3 linked regions of the Drosophila melanogaster genome follow. The protein of the gene in region 2 interacts with the protein of the main gene of each other region in a pairwise test. Each region holds a gene or a part of one and is shown on either strand. Other genes may lie near its edges.

The links.
Region 1: the proteins of toc (region 2) and mRpS17 interact in a two-hybrid assay, tested with the Drosophila melanogaster proteins (one large-scale study listed by BioGRID).
Region 3: the proteins of toc (region 2) and CG15482 interact in a two-hybrid assay, tested with the Drosophila melanogaster proteins (one large-scale study listed by BioGRID).

What each region holds. Positions count from the first base shown.
Region 1 is NT_033778.4:24,173,090-24,176,388, forward strand, and holds mRpS17 (mitochondrial ribosomal protein S17), read right to left. Parts: upstream 1,353-3,299; 5' UTR 1,279-1,352; coding exon 1,171-1,278; intron 1,107-1,170; coding exon 747-1,106; 3' UTR 576-746; downstream 1-575. Other genes in the region: CG3328 (uncharacterized protein), read left to right, coding at 1-166, 227-307; Nop60B (nucleolar protein at 60B), read left to right, coding at 1,866-1,878, 1,939-2,307, 2,384-2,635, 2,828-3,102.
Region 2 is NT_033779.5:3,141,701-3,146,385, forward strand, and holds the start of toc (toucan), read right to left. Parts: upstream 3,087-4,685; 5' UTR 2,648-3,086; coding exon 2,639-2,647; intron 1-2,638. Other genes in the region: ND-B14.5B (NADH dehydrogenase (ubiquinone) B14.5 B subunit), read right to left, coding at 3,500-3,549, 3,605-3,748, 3,828-3,984.
Region 3 is NT_033779.5:13,210,130-13,213,464, forward strand, and holds CG15482 (uncharacterized protein), read right to left. Parts: upstream 1,686-3,335; 5' UTR 1,653-1,685; coding exon 723-1,652; 3' UTR 644-722; downstream 1-643. Other genes in the region: Pect (phosphoethanolamine cytidylyltransferase), read left to right, coding at 1-99; kek4 (kekkon 4), read right to left, coding at 2,528-2,814, 2,880-3,335.

The sequences.
Region 1 (3,299 bases), on a different chromosome or scaffold from region 2:
GAGTGCCAACGGCCAGCTGAACGAGGATGACGAGGCCGAGTCCACCAGCGGGGTGAAGATCCTCAAGCAGCAGGGCAAGAACAAACTGAGCCTGGCCCTGGATCTTCCCGCCCGCGGCTACTTCCTACGGGAGTTTATGCTCCGCGCCAGCCACGACCTGGAGCAGGTGCGTTATCCGGACGCATTAACGCGAAATCCAGCGACTCTAGCCTCCTTTTCGTTGCAGCAAAAACTGTGCGACGACAACGCTCACCCGGCAAACCCCATACTCCAGTACAACTTTAGGATCGTAAGAGATTGTGATTAGTATTCAGCTTAATTTATGGCACGGACCGAATCTGAACTCTAAAACCATGTGCGTGTGCAGCACGTTTCGGTGTTGCGGATGTGTCCTGGCACCTGGCGCGGAAAAATCGTTTGAATTAGGAAAATTCAAAAATTAAATAATCAAAAACTGTTGATCAGCGAGAGGAAGTTGAAAATGCATACATTTATACGTATACACAACAAATCATCAATAAATGCAAAAAAAAAAAAACAACTATCGACCATTAAAATAAAATATGTAGAGAAATCTTTTAAACCTGCCTTTTTAATTCAATTCAAGCAATCAAAAACCTATAAAAATATCTTCTTTCGTCGGCCTAACCATTTTATAAGAAAACCGAGAAACATATGTACGTCATATTAATGCACTTTACTATTAAACAAAGGGGAAACTTAACAGATAAACGACCGGCAGAGCTCTAAACGGCGAACGGCTGATCCTTGCCATCCTCGTGGTACTTGATGTATGTTTCCCCGTGGGTGAAGTCCTTGGTTCCCTCCAGGCGACCGCGGGGCGGTGCCTTCTCGTAGTCGAAGGCCTTCTCTGACTTGCCGAACAGCTGGTTGGCCATCTCGATGTCCTCGCGGTAATTGCCCACGACCACCTTCTTGCCAGTGAGCGGGTCCGTTATGTCACCCAGCGGATAGACCACTTTTTCCACGTTGTGCGTGATGAGGCGGGTGAGGCGCTCTGGCAGTTCCCGTATCAGGACCACGTCCCCGGTCTTGCACACCTTCTGCGGATCGTGGGCGAAGTAGAACTCGTCCTTCTTAAAGTACTGCGAGCAGAAGGGAAATTGTGTGAAATCTCCTGAGGCGAGATCTAATGTATATTATGCACACCATATTCAGGTTCTTGTCCAGCTCCATTCGGCGAATGCGGATCTTGGAGGCGTTCTGCTTGATGCAGGGCATGCACTGGCCCATTAGTAGGAGTCCTCGCCTCGACATTACTTTAATTTAATTTAAGAGTTTAGAAAAATAAACAACCGGTTGGGAAACACAGCTGGTAGATCACTGGCGATAGTATCGATTGGGCCTGGAACTATCAATATTTCGATATTTTTTACTCAGCAGTTTCTGATTTTCAAAATCCCGCCAAATGCAATCAGCTTGCACGCGTCAGTTAAAAAGTAGGGTAGTATGACTTTTCATCGCAAAAACAAGTGGATTCTAAGGACATAACATTTTCACCGTACTATAAACAGTGTATCAGTTTTACATAACATATCTTTTCAATTAAATAATGCTTTAATGGATTAAAAATGTTTACGTCAAAGTAAATACCTTTAAATTCATTTTGTTTATGAATAATACATATTTTTAATTCAAAATTGTAATAAGGAATTCGGCTCACGATGACATATCGCAAGATTTCCATTTATGTATCGATGTCTTCATGAAATACATTTCTGTGTAGTCACACTTATCGATAGACCGCGCACTCCACGTGTTTTTCGTCCATTTTCTCGCAGCGCGCAACACGTGCGGAGGTTTCTCTCCGTCTATTAGTTGATTTAGCAGAAAACGTAGATAAAATGGCCGACGTGGGTAAGTCTGGCAAGTGATGAATTAAAAGAGTGCCCAAATAAACGGACTATGCGCCCGCAGAAGTACGCAAGGAGAAGAAAAAGAAGAAGATCAAGGAGGAGCCCTTGGACGGCGATGACATTGGCACGCTGCAGAAGCAGGGCAACTTCCAAATCAAGCCCTCCTCCAAGATCGCCGAGCTGGACACCTCGCAATGGCCGCTGCTCCTGAAGAACTTCGACAAGTTGAACATCCGTTCCAACCACTACACTCCGCTGGCGCACGGATCGTCGCCCCTGAACCGCGACATCAAAGAGTACATGAAGACTGGCTTCATCAACCTGGACAAGCCGTCGAACCCCAGCTCCCACGAGGTGGTGGCCTGGATCAAGAAAATCCTCAAGGTGGAGAAGACAGGCCACTCCGGCACGCTGGATCCCAAAGTCACGGGTAAGTGAAGCGCGTGCTCGCCTACCGCCATACAAACCTAACCTCATTGTGTGCCGCGTGTTTTTTTTTCCTACAGGTTGCCTGATTGTTTGTATTGACAGGGCCACCCGTCTGGTGAAGTCCCAGCAGAGCGCCGGCAAGGAGTACGTGGCCATCTTCAAGCTGCACGGAGCCGTGGAGTCGGTGGCCAAGGTGCGTCAGGGCCTGGAGAAGCTGCGTGGTGCCCTCTTCCAGAGACCTCCACTCATCTCCGCCGTAAAGCGTCAGTTGCGCGTTCGTACTGTCTACGACAGCAAGCTGTTGGACTACGATGAAACCCGAAATATGGGTAAGTCAGAAGTTTTGTTTATCCATTCTCGCTCAGAGTTGGTGCGTCGCTGCTGGATTAGTTTATCCTGCAGAGGTGCAGCCTGCTTCAGCCAGTGAAACACCAGTATTTGCCTAACACAGCAAATGCACAATGTAATTGTTAAAACCTCGTCTTTTTCTCTCCTCCAATTCTGCCCACTCACGTGCTCAGGTGTTTTTTGGGTTAGTTGCGAGGCCGGCTCCTACATCCGTACCATGTGCGTCCATCTTGGTCTCGTACTGGGTGTCGGTGGCCAGATGCTGGAGCTCCGCCGTGTCCGCTCGGGCATTCAGTCTGAGCGCGATGGTATGGTGACCATGCACGATGTTTTGGACGCCATGTGGCTGTACGAAAACCACAAGGACGAGTCTATGCTGCGACGTGTGATCAAGCCGCTAGAAGGTCTGCTGGTCAACCACAAGCGCATTATTATGAAGGACAGTTCGGTAAGTTTGACATCCAGTTGCCGTTTGCGAAGTAGTACCCCATGATATTAAGCCGGCAGGTGCCTGCAATCCCCACGGGCACCTGTGACTATGATTGGGAACAGCAAAGCTGCTGATGTGTGTATGTTGGGCAGCGCTCTTATCCTGCGCGCTCGACAAAGAATATTCGGTCGACATTTCCTCTAGCAAAGGACCCC
Region 2 (4,685 bases):
TTAATGGTAGCATTTCCCATTAATTTTTTTATTAATTAACAATTTCCCAATCATCCAGCAGAGCAAACAAAACCGAAACCGATGATGTTGCGAATTAGCATATATTATATCGACATAAGGTTCACCTGTTTGTTTAATGCGAATATATACCAATGCAAATTCCAACAGATGTATTTCAATATGTGGGCGTAAAGGAAAAGCGGTATCCATACATTTTCATGCTGCAAACGCAGTCATAAATAAATGGAAAATTGCGATTCGCAATGGATGCCAGAAGCCCTTTTTGGTGGCATGCAACGCATTTCTCGTTGAGTCAATACACAAATGCCACCGCCGCCAGCATAAATCATAAATGGCAAGCCAATAGTGGATCAGCTAGAGGGAATAGTATACATATATATATATGAGAAGATTCTGGGGAAACGTAGAGGAGTGGATAAGCTCTTCGTATTGAAACAGATGCTACAAACTGGAAAACTGATGCCATTACAAGAGTATAAATTTATGGTTTATACTATTCCCATAGCGAATTCTACTTTGCTGTAGTATTTCAGATACCTTTAAGGTCTAGTTTGAAGTGCAGAACATGAATCTCAATAGTTTTCAATTTATGTAACTAAATGTATATCCGAAGCTTTTCTCGAAATAATCACCCTTAGCCTTTCATGAGCGAATTTTCATGCTGTTTTTCTTCATCTTTTCCGCATAAGTGGGTGGTAGCAACAACATGTACGTCTAAAAGAAAAATTGCTTCAACTTATTGTTAGTTTCGCCCCGTTATCCTTGCACTTGCAGGCAGGTCCTGCGGTTGCGCCTGCTGCTGTTGACACGAAAAAAAGTGTATATAGGAGGCGCCCCCCTGTCGACAATTGTATGAGAGGAATATAATAGTGCTACAGGCTGCACATAATGATATAGGGGTCATGGCAAGACGACAGAATGGATGAAAAGTGGGGGAAAAGTGGGCGGCAAGAACTCTGATGATTATGAGGCTGTCGCGGAAAAAGGCAAAGGCAAAAAAGTAAAACCTTAGTCATTGAAGGATATAATAGTACATATATTTCGGATGTACCCTGTAGACATTACGATAGGGCATTCTGATTGAATTAAAAGTGAAATTGTTTTATGGAAATATATTTAATTCAAAACTTTCGTTTCAGTGCGGAAAATGAGACTTTTATATCACATATCAGTGAATTTTTTTACGATTTTTGAGGATTTTATATCCTTGCTTGAGCATAGTATTTACCCGTCTGGGAAAACCACTCAAGGACAATTTGTAGTAAAGTGCCCAATGCTGGGCACTTCGTACTAAGCACGTAATAATAGTAGTACCTCTGGTTAACTCAGTGCCTCGAGAATCTCGATTGTAAAGTCTGAACTTGACTTGGGGACATTTGGCCACATGGGCGTGCAAATCAAAATTTCATAGCCAGCCAACGAAGGGAGGAAAATGGAGAGAGCTGGATGGTTGAGTAAAAGTGGAAAACTTTAAGATAGAGCAAAGTAATTTCATGTTGAGCGACAAGTGGCAAGGTAATTTATCAAGAGCAAAACAAACCTGTCACGAGCGAAAGTTCTTCAAGCAGACACGCGACAGTGGTTGGATGGGCACACCACCCAGAGTCACCCATAACCATCCACCCACTCCCGATTCCCACACGTGGTGGGTGATAAAAAATGTATTGCCAAATTGGCTCGAACTGCACATATCGAGCCAAGAACCTCGAGAATAATGTGCCTCATTTCGGCCACGAAAAAAGCAGCTGGCCAGTGAGAAATGGCTTCACTCCTTCGACGTTCTGCGGACGGAGCTTTAATCCCTTGATTGGGATTGAGGGCTCCTTGGCTTTTTATGCCCTATGTCGTAATAGCGTGCAGATTGGGCCATAAGCGGAATTTTCCGCTTTTCCGGGCGGAGTGGGTGGCAAGTACTTGGAAAACTCGCTCATTAGCCTGATGAAGAGGATAGTAAAGTGTTTAAAAGAGCAGAGATGTCGCCAGCTGAGAAAATATGAGAGCTGTTATGTAAGATGCGGCATTTAAGAGAGAAATTTTCTAACTAATATATATTTCATTCAATGGAACAAGACTAACGCTGCTTTAAAATATTTACAATTTTCTAAAAATATTACAAATCCTTTTAAATACCATACCAAAACATGTTTGTTAGTAGCAAAATTCTAGAATGAAGTTAAGCGCAGTTATCATTTCAAACTTTACTACCCTGTTTACTCTGTTATTCAAGTGCTTACTTCTATTCTATGTTCTATGTTTCTTTTACGACGGAACCCGAAACTCTGCCCACTCCCCCGCCCCGTATCCACCGCACGGGGAGCACCTTTTGGCATAACGGTTTTTATGGCTACACAAAAATGCGATGCCCGTTCAATTTTACACATCATAAAGTAACGGTTGCTGGGGAATCGATTCGCCGCAATCCAGGGAAATCAATGCGAATCCGCACTGAACATGCATAATTCATACAAACGTATCCACCCGCAGGAACCACCCACCCACACACAAGCAATGAAATAAAAACCAAATTGACAAACATTTGCCGTGGAAGAGAAAAGACCAGCATCTGTTCATAAATAAATAAGTTGGTAATAAAATTAAGAGCTCGGCTTTTTCTTACCTTCGCCATAATCGTTGTTTGCTGATGATAAGAAAATTTGCAGGTGAACTGAGCCGACGGTGAACTTTCGCCAAACTTTCAGTTGCTTAACCTTTTACTGGGTCGAAAAAAAAAACAATCTTATAATGCCAATTAATTAACAATAATTCGTTTCGCTGTGTTTGACTATTAGTGTTGGCATTTATTTTTCACTGATTACACTTTATTTCGGTTTTCGTAAATTGTAACGGTAAAACGAAGACGCACACACGCACACAAACTGGGCTTAAAATTACGTTGTTTATTTCATAGAGATTTTTTGTGTATATATATTTAAATCCAATCTCTGGCTGGTTGGATTTCGAATTTTTTTATTGATTTTTTAGCGCGTTCTTTCAGCTTCCTGGCTGCTATTCAAAAATGGTAATTTATTCGCGGACAAACTTTTTGCGCAGACACATCCTACCAAAAGTTCGATCCGTTTTTCACCGCGACAAAAGAGCGTTTGCTCGCCAAAGCCTCTTTCTGGAGATGGCACTTGGACCGTTGGAGCAATCGATAACTCCCGGGTATCGCGCACCAATTTCAGGTACAGAAGTGCGCTAATCGCTAGCTGAGACTCAAACCAAAACATAGCTTAACAAATTTATTTCAAAACTAAATAGTTGCGAAAAATGTAAGCCCTAGGTACATTCCATCAATTTAAACCATAACATTATGCCAATATGCTGTAAGTCCATAATATGCATGCAATTCCTTTCGAATAAAAAACCATAGAATGCCCAATCCATTTGCTCCATTTTCGTGTTCATATGTTTTACAATTAAAGCTGTTTTATTAACTACTTCCATCGTTCGTTTGACAACAAAGATTTAGATCCACTTAGCGCACTGGCACCCAACTCTCCAGCACTTGGCCATAGGTCTTGCGTTCTGGAAGGGGCAAAAACGGTAAGTAATGGTTAGCTTGCATCCATGCCGCACTTACCCTTCACCGGGAAATCGTCGGGATGCAGTTCGATGTAGTGCCGGAGGACGGCGTCCCTTTTGGCCAGGTACTCGTTCCTCTTCTGATCGAAATAAGCTCCTGCGCCGACGCCGATAGCTCCGAAGGCGATGTGCTTCTGGATGCCTGGAATACGTTGCGATTTAGTTAGTTATAGGCGACAAAAACAATCGTTACGTCACATGGAAGCGGGGCGAAAACTCACCGGAAAACACGGGCTTACGGAAGCCCCAGTTGATGAAAATGGCCGCGCCCACGCCGGCCACACCGCAGGCAATCGGATTCCATATCGGCGAGAGGAAAGAAGGCTCGTGGGTGCCCTTGTTCGTCAAAAGTTCCAGCGGATCGTTCACGGCACTCATGTTGATAGGATGAAAAACAATAGCGGTGGGCAACTAACGCAGTTAGCGATGTCACTGGCAGAACTCTCAGCTATCGATAGCGTGCGAACTGAACTAGTTCCGTAACGATTATTTAAAACGTAAGTTGTATATAATTTAAATAATATAAACAAACACGTATTGCACATTGCCAACTTTATTTGGTTCCTTTTATATTGGAAACTACAAATTATTCACTCGCGCACTAAAATCAGAATAAATATTCAACTAGCCACTAACTAACTAACCGAAATAACAAACCAAAAATAAACGAATTCAAAACGTTGATGAAAAATGTTGTCCACATGATGAAATATCTCAAGTTCAAGCCAGGGTTTTATGTTTTTCCTTTTATTTGAATTCATTTTTTAATATTACATTAGTACGTTTAACATTAAGAGGCATGCAAGGCGTATTTAAGGCAATTTATAGCATTCAAAAACTAGTAAACTTCAAGGCAACTATTTCTGTTTCTTGTTCGTTTGGTAATCAGTATCGCTGCTTGGATATTAAGACATTATTAAATTTTTCTTTGCTCCACACAATTCGCACAACATCAAAGGCCGACGTGGAATATCGAACAGGCACAAATATTACAATATTATTATTAATTTTTTTTAGTAAGGCCCAAGTTTTGCCCAAGCCTCTAATATACAGCTATTTTTACATTATATCTTTTTATA
Region 3 (3,335 bases), about 10 Mb from region 2:
CGACTGGAATATGAGCGTCGCAATCAGGCCAAAGAAAAGAAGGAAATCGAAGCCTTTGAGGCACTTCAACGCCAAAAACAGACCCAAAAGGCCGGCTAGCCGGAACCAGATTCCGACCTCTCACACTAGACGGATGTTTTTTATTTTCTAGTTGCGTTCTTTTAGTTTGTTTTATTTAGTTTGTCTTGTTTAGTATGTCGTCCCCTGATGATGGCGCTTTAATTTTTTGTTGCGTAAAAAGCGAAGCGACGCTGCCTGAGGATTCAGCGCACCGCTCTCTCGATTTCTAGTACAATTTTAGAATATCTGCACATGCGCCTTAATGATATAAGGTTATACACATAATTATATATTTCTAACACATTAACGTAGAATATTTAAAATCTAAATTTTATGTATGTAAGCTCAAAATTTGTAAATTCCCTTTAAAGTACGATGTAAGTGTGAGGAACAACAAAATTGTACGAATAGCATGTTATCCAAACTGTTGCCGAATTGAAAAGCCTTGTACGACTTGTATGTATATATATTCAGCAACGGAAGTAGGATGCCTGGATCAGGAAGTAGCTGCTTTTATCAAATGTAATCTCTGATACTTTGTCCTAATTTATTAATGCATATAGTAAGTGCGAGTTCAAGTTTTATGTTTCCTTGTTTAATCTTAGACTTAAATACATGGCCAAAAATATTGCGAATTCCAAAAAAAAAAAAAACCGGAAGTTTTATATACTTGCCTCGCTAATCACTTTCAGTTCGACGGTTAGCGATTGCTGCCAAACATCTAAATCCATTAGTGGCCGGAGGTCATTCAAGCTGATGAGGATCACGTTGCTGTCGGTCTTGATGAACTCACTGCAGGATTGGTTCGACGACAGTGGCAGCATTGGACGAGCTTTTATCTGTCTGGTGTAGTAACGTGGCAGGTTGGCAGGTTGGACCAGCAGGCGCAGAGTGATGGCCACGCCGTGCAAAGGAGTAGCCACCCAGATGGCCAGGACTTCGTGTTTGACACGCTTCCTTTCCCACAGCACCGAGTGCATGGTGCGGCAGGCGAAGATCATAAGGGCGCTATGCTGCGAGAAGCGGCGGTACTCCACTGGCAGATGGGTGTTTCGGTGACATTTCAGAGGATTAAGGCCAGTGCGCCGATAGCCATAGACCCCCAGCAGGGTGTTGACATCTCTTTCCAGGCTACTAATATGACATGTTAGTGACACTCGCTTGCCCATTTCCAGTTCATAAAACGGAACTCCCATTCCCGGCAGATGGTCACTCAAATAGTGACCCAACAGAGCGCTGGGGTCAACCGAGCATAGGCATCCGTGACATGGGCATGCCACCAGGCGCAGTCGGCTCCACGGCGAATCGCTAGATGTGGTCGCAGTGCTCTTCCTGCTGCTGGACGGCTGCTCGGTCAGCGATTCGAAGTTCTGCAGTTTGAGGAGCAGCTGATCCTCGGGAGCTGGCGCGGCCACCGATGCCGGCAGTCTGTAGTTGGAAAAGTGTTTCGTGTACAGCAAATCTTGCATTTCCTGCAGGCGCTGCTTTCGCCTCTCCTGACGCTTTCGATTCCGGCTCAATCCATGGATGGGAGATTGATCTTTGCCGGAATCGGCGGCCTGGTTGGTACGCGAGGTAAATGGCGCAGTCATTGTGGTAGGTAATCAGGCTTGCCAAAACGACATAATTTTGATAAGAAACTAGACAGATAGACAGATACTAGCAACTTTTGAAAGTCTACTGTGTTGACAAGTAGATCCTTTTGATTTTATAATAGTTAAATATTTATTATTCAGTTGGGCCGAAATCCCGGCGGTACTGCAATACCGGGCCAACCCGCGACAGAGGTGGAGCAAGCCCCTAGCACTCCGTCTGATTCCAAAAATCAGTTTAACATTTGTTGTCCTCCAATGGAGGAACTATCAGATGTTAAGCTGATAAGAACAGATACTACACTTTGATCTTAGCCATAAGGCCGAGAAGCGATAACTTGAAACGGAAAACGAAAAGGGTCTCCATGAGCAAACGGCCAGAAGCAGTTGGGAATTGTAGCACACACAAGAATGAATTCGGGGTAGGTCAGGGATGATAGAACGTAGAGTACGGTAAAAGTGGGTCAGGTAAATAAAATCAAACGATTTACTAAAAATGCTTTTTAGAATTCGATGATAATATAAGATTAATTCAAGTAAGCTACACATTTTTCATTTAAAGGCATCACTTAAAACTTTATTATTACATTCCTTTCACTTAAAGTGCGTGGGTTAAAACACTTAGAACTGTGTAAATAAATATTTTTATATATTAGTAACGTTTTAAAATACATAATTTACTACCAGAAATAAGGCGAGGTATATTTCTTCTTGACTGGATCTCCTTTGTCCATCTATCTCCTGGAGGTCTTAGAGAGGTAGGGCTGGATATGAATTGAAATCCTGGCAAAGACTAAAATTTCAATGGCATGGGGTTTACGGTGGATTCGCAGCTGTGTATGGTGGGAAATGCCATATTATAAAACATTAATATATTATATTGAGATATCAACACCAGTAATGGGTTCTTTAGTACTGATATTCTTTATTCTAACACTGCCGTACTTCTCCTTTAGGTACTTTTGCACATTGGTATTGTACTTGCTTCGGGGATTAACTTCTGCTTTTTTCGCTGATGGACCGAAAGTTTCATTAATATTTTTTAAGGCAGTAGGTTGAGTGGAAGGCAAAAGGTCCGGTTGGAGTTCATCGATTTGTCCCTTCTTTCTTGAGCAGCCTGTTGATTGCAAGGAACTCTGCCGGGAATCCTTATCGAGCTCATCTAAGTAGGAGAAAAACAAGAATAAGTTAAAATTTGAGCACTAATTTTATTTGGCATTTTATTGCCTTTCTGTTTGAGCTCTTCCTTTTCCCGGTCACCAGCTATATTTGAATAGAGCTCCCGATTCCGCGATGAAATGGATTCCGCCTGATTGTCTAGATTTTCAGTATATGTGTTGCTGTTTAATCTCACGTCTTTATAATTTCTCGTGTGCATATACTCGCTGCCATTCGAATTGGATGTTTTAAATAAAGTGTAATTTTTATTTGATGGTTCATTGATAGCACTTAATGGATCCAGCACTATTTTACTTTCCCTTATAACTCCAGAACTTAGGGCGCTGATGGCGGTGGCTTCTTCACTGCCAGGTGACTGAACGGGCAAACTAGTGGGTTGCAAATAAGTGTGCTGGCCGGGATGGAACTGCTTGAATCTCTTAAATATTAGGCATGTTACCAACGAAAATAGAATCGACATGCTGAGAAAACCCATGGCTATAAGGCAGACTATTGCAAAGAAGT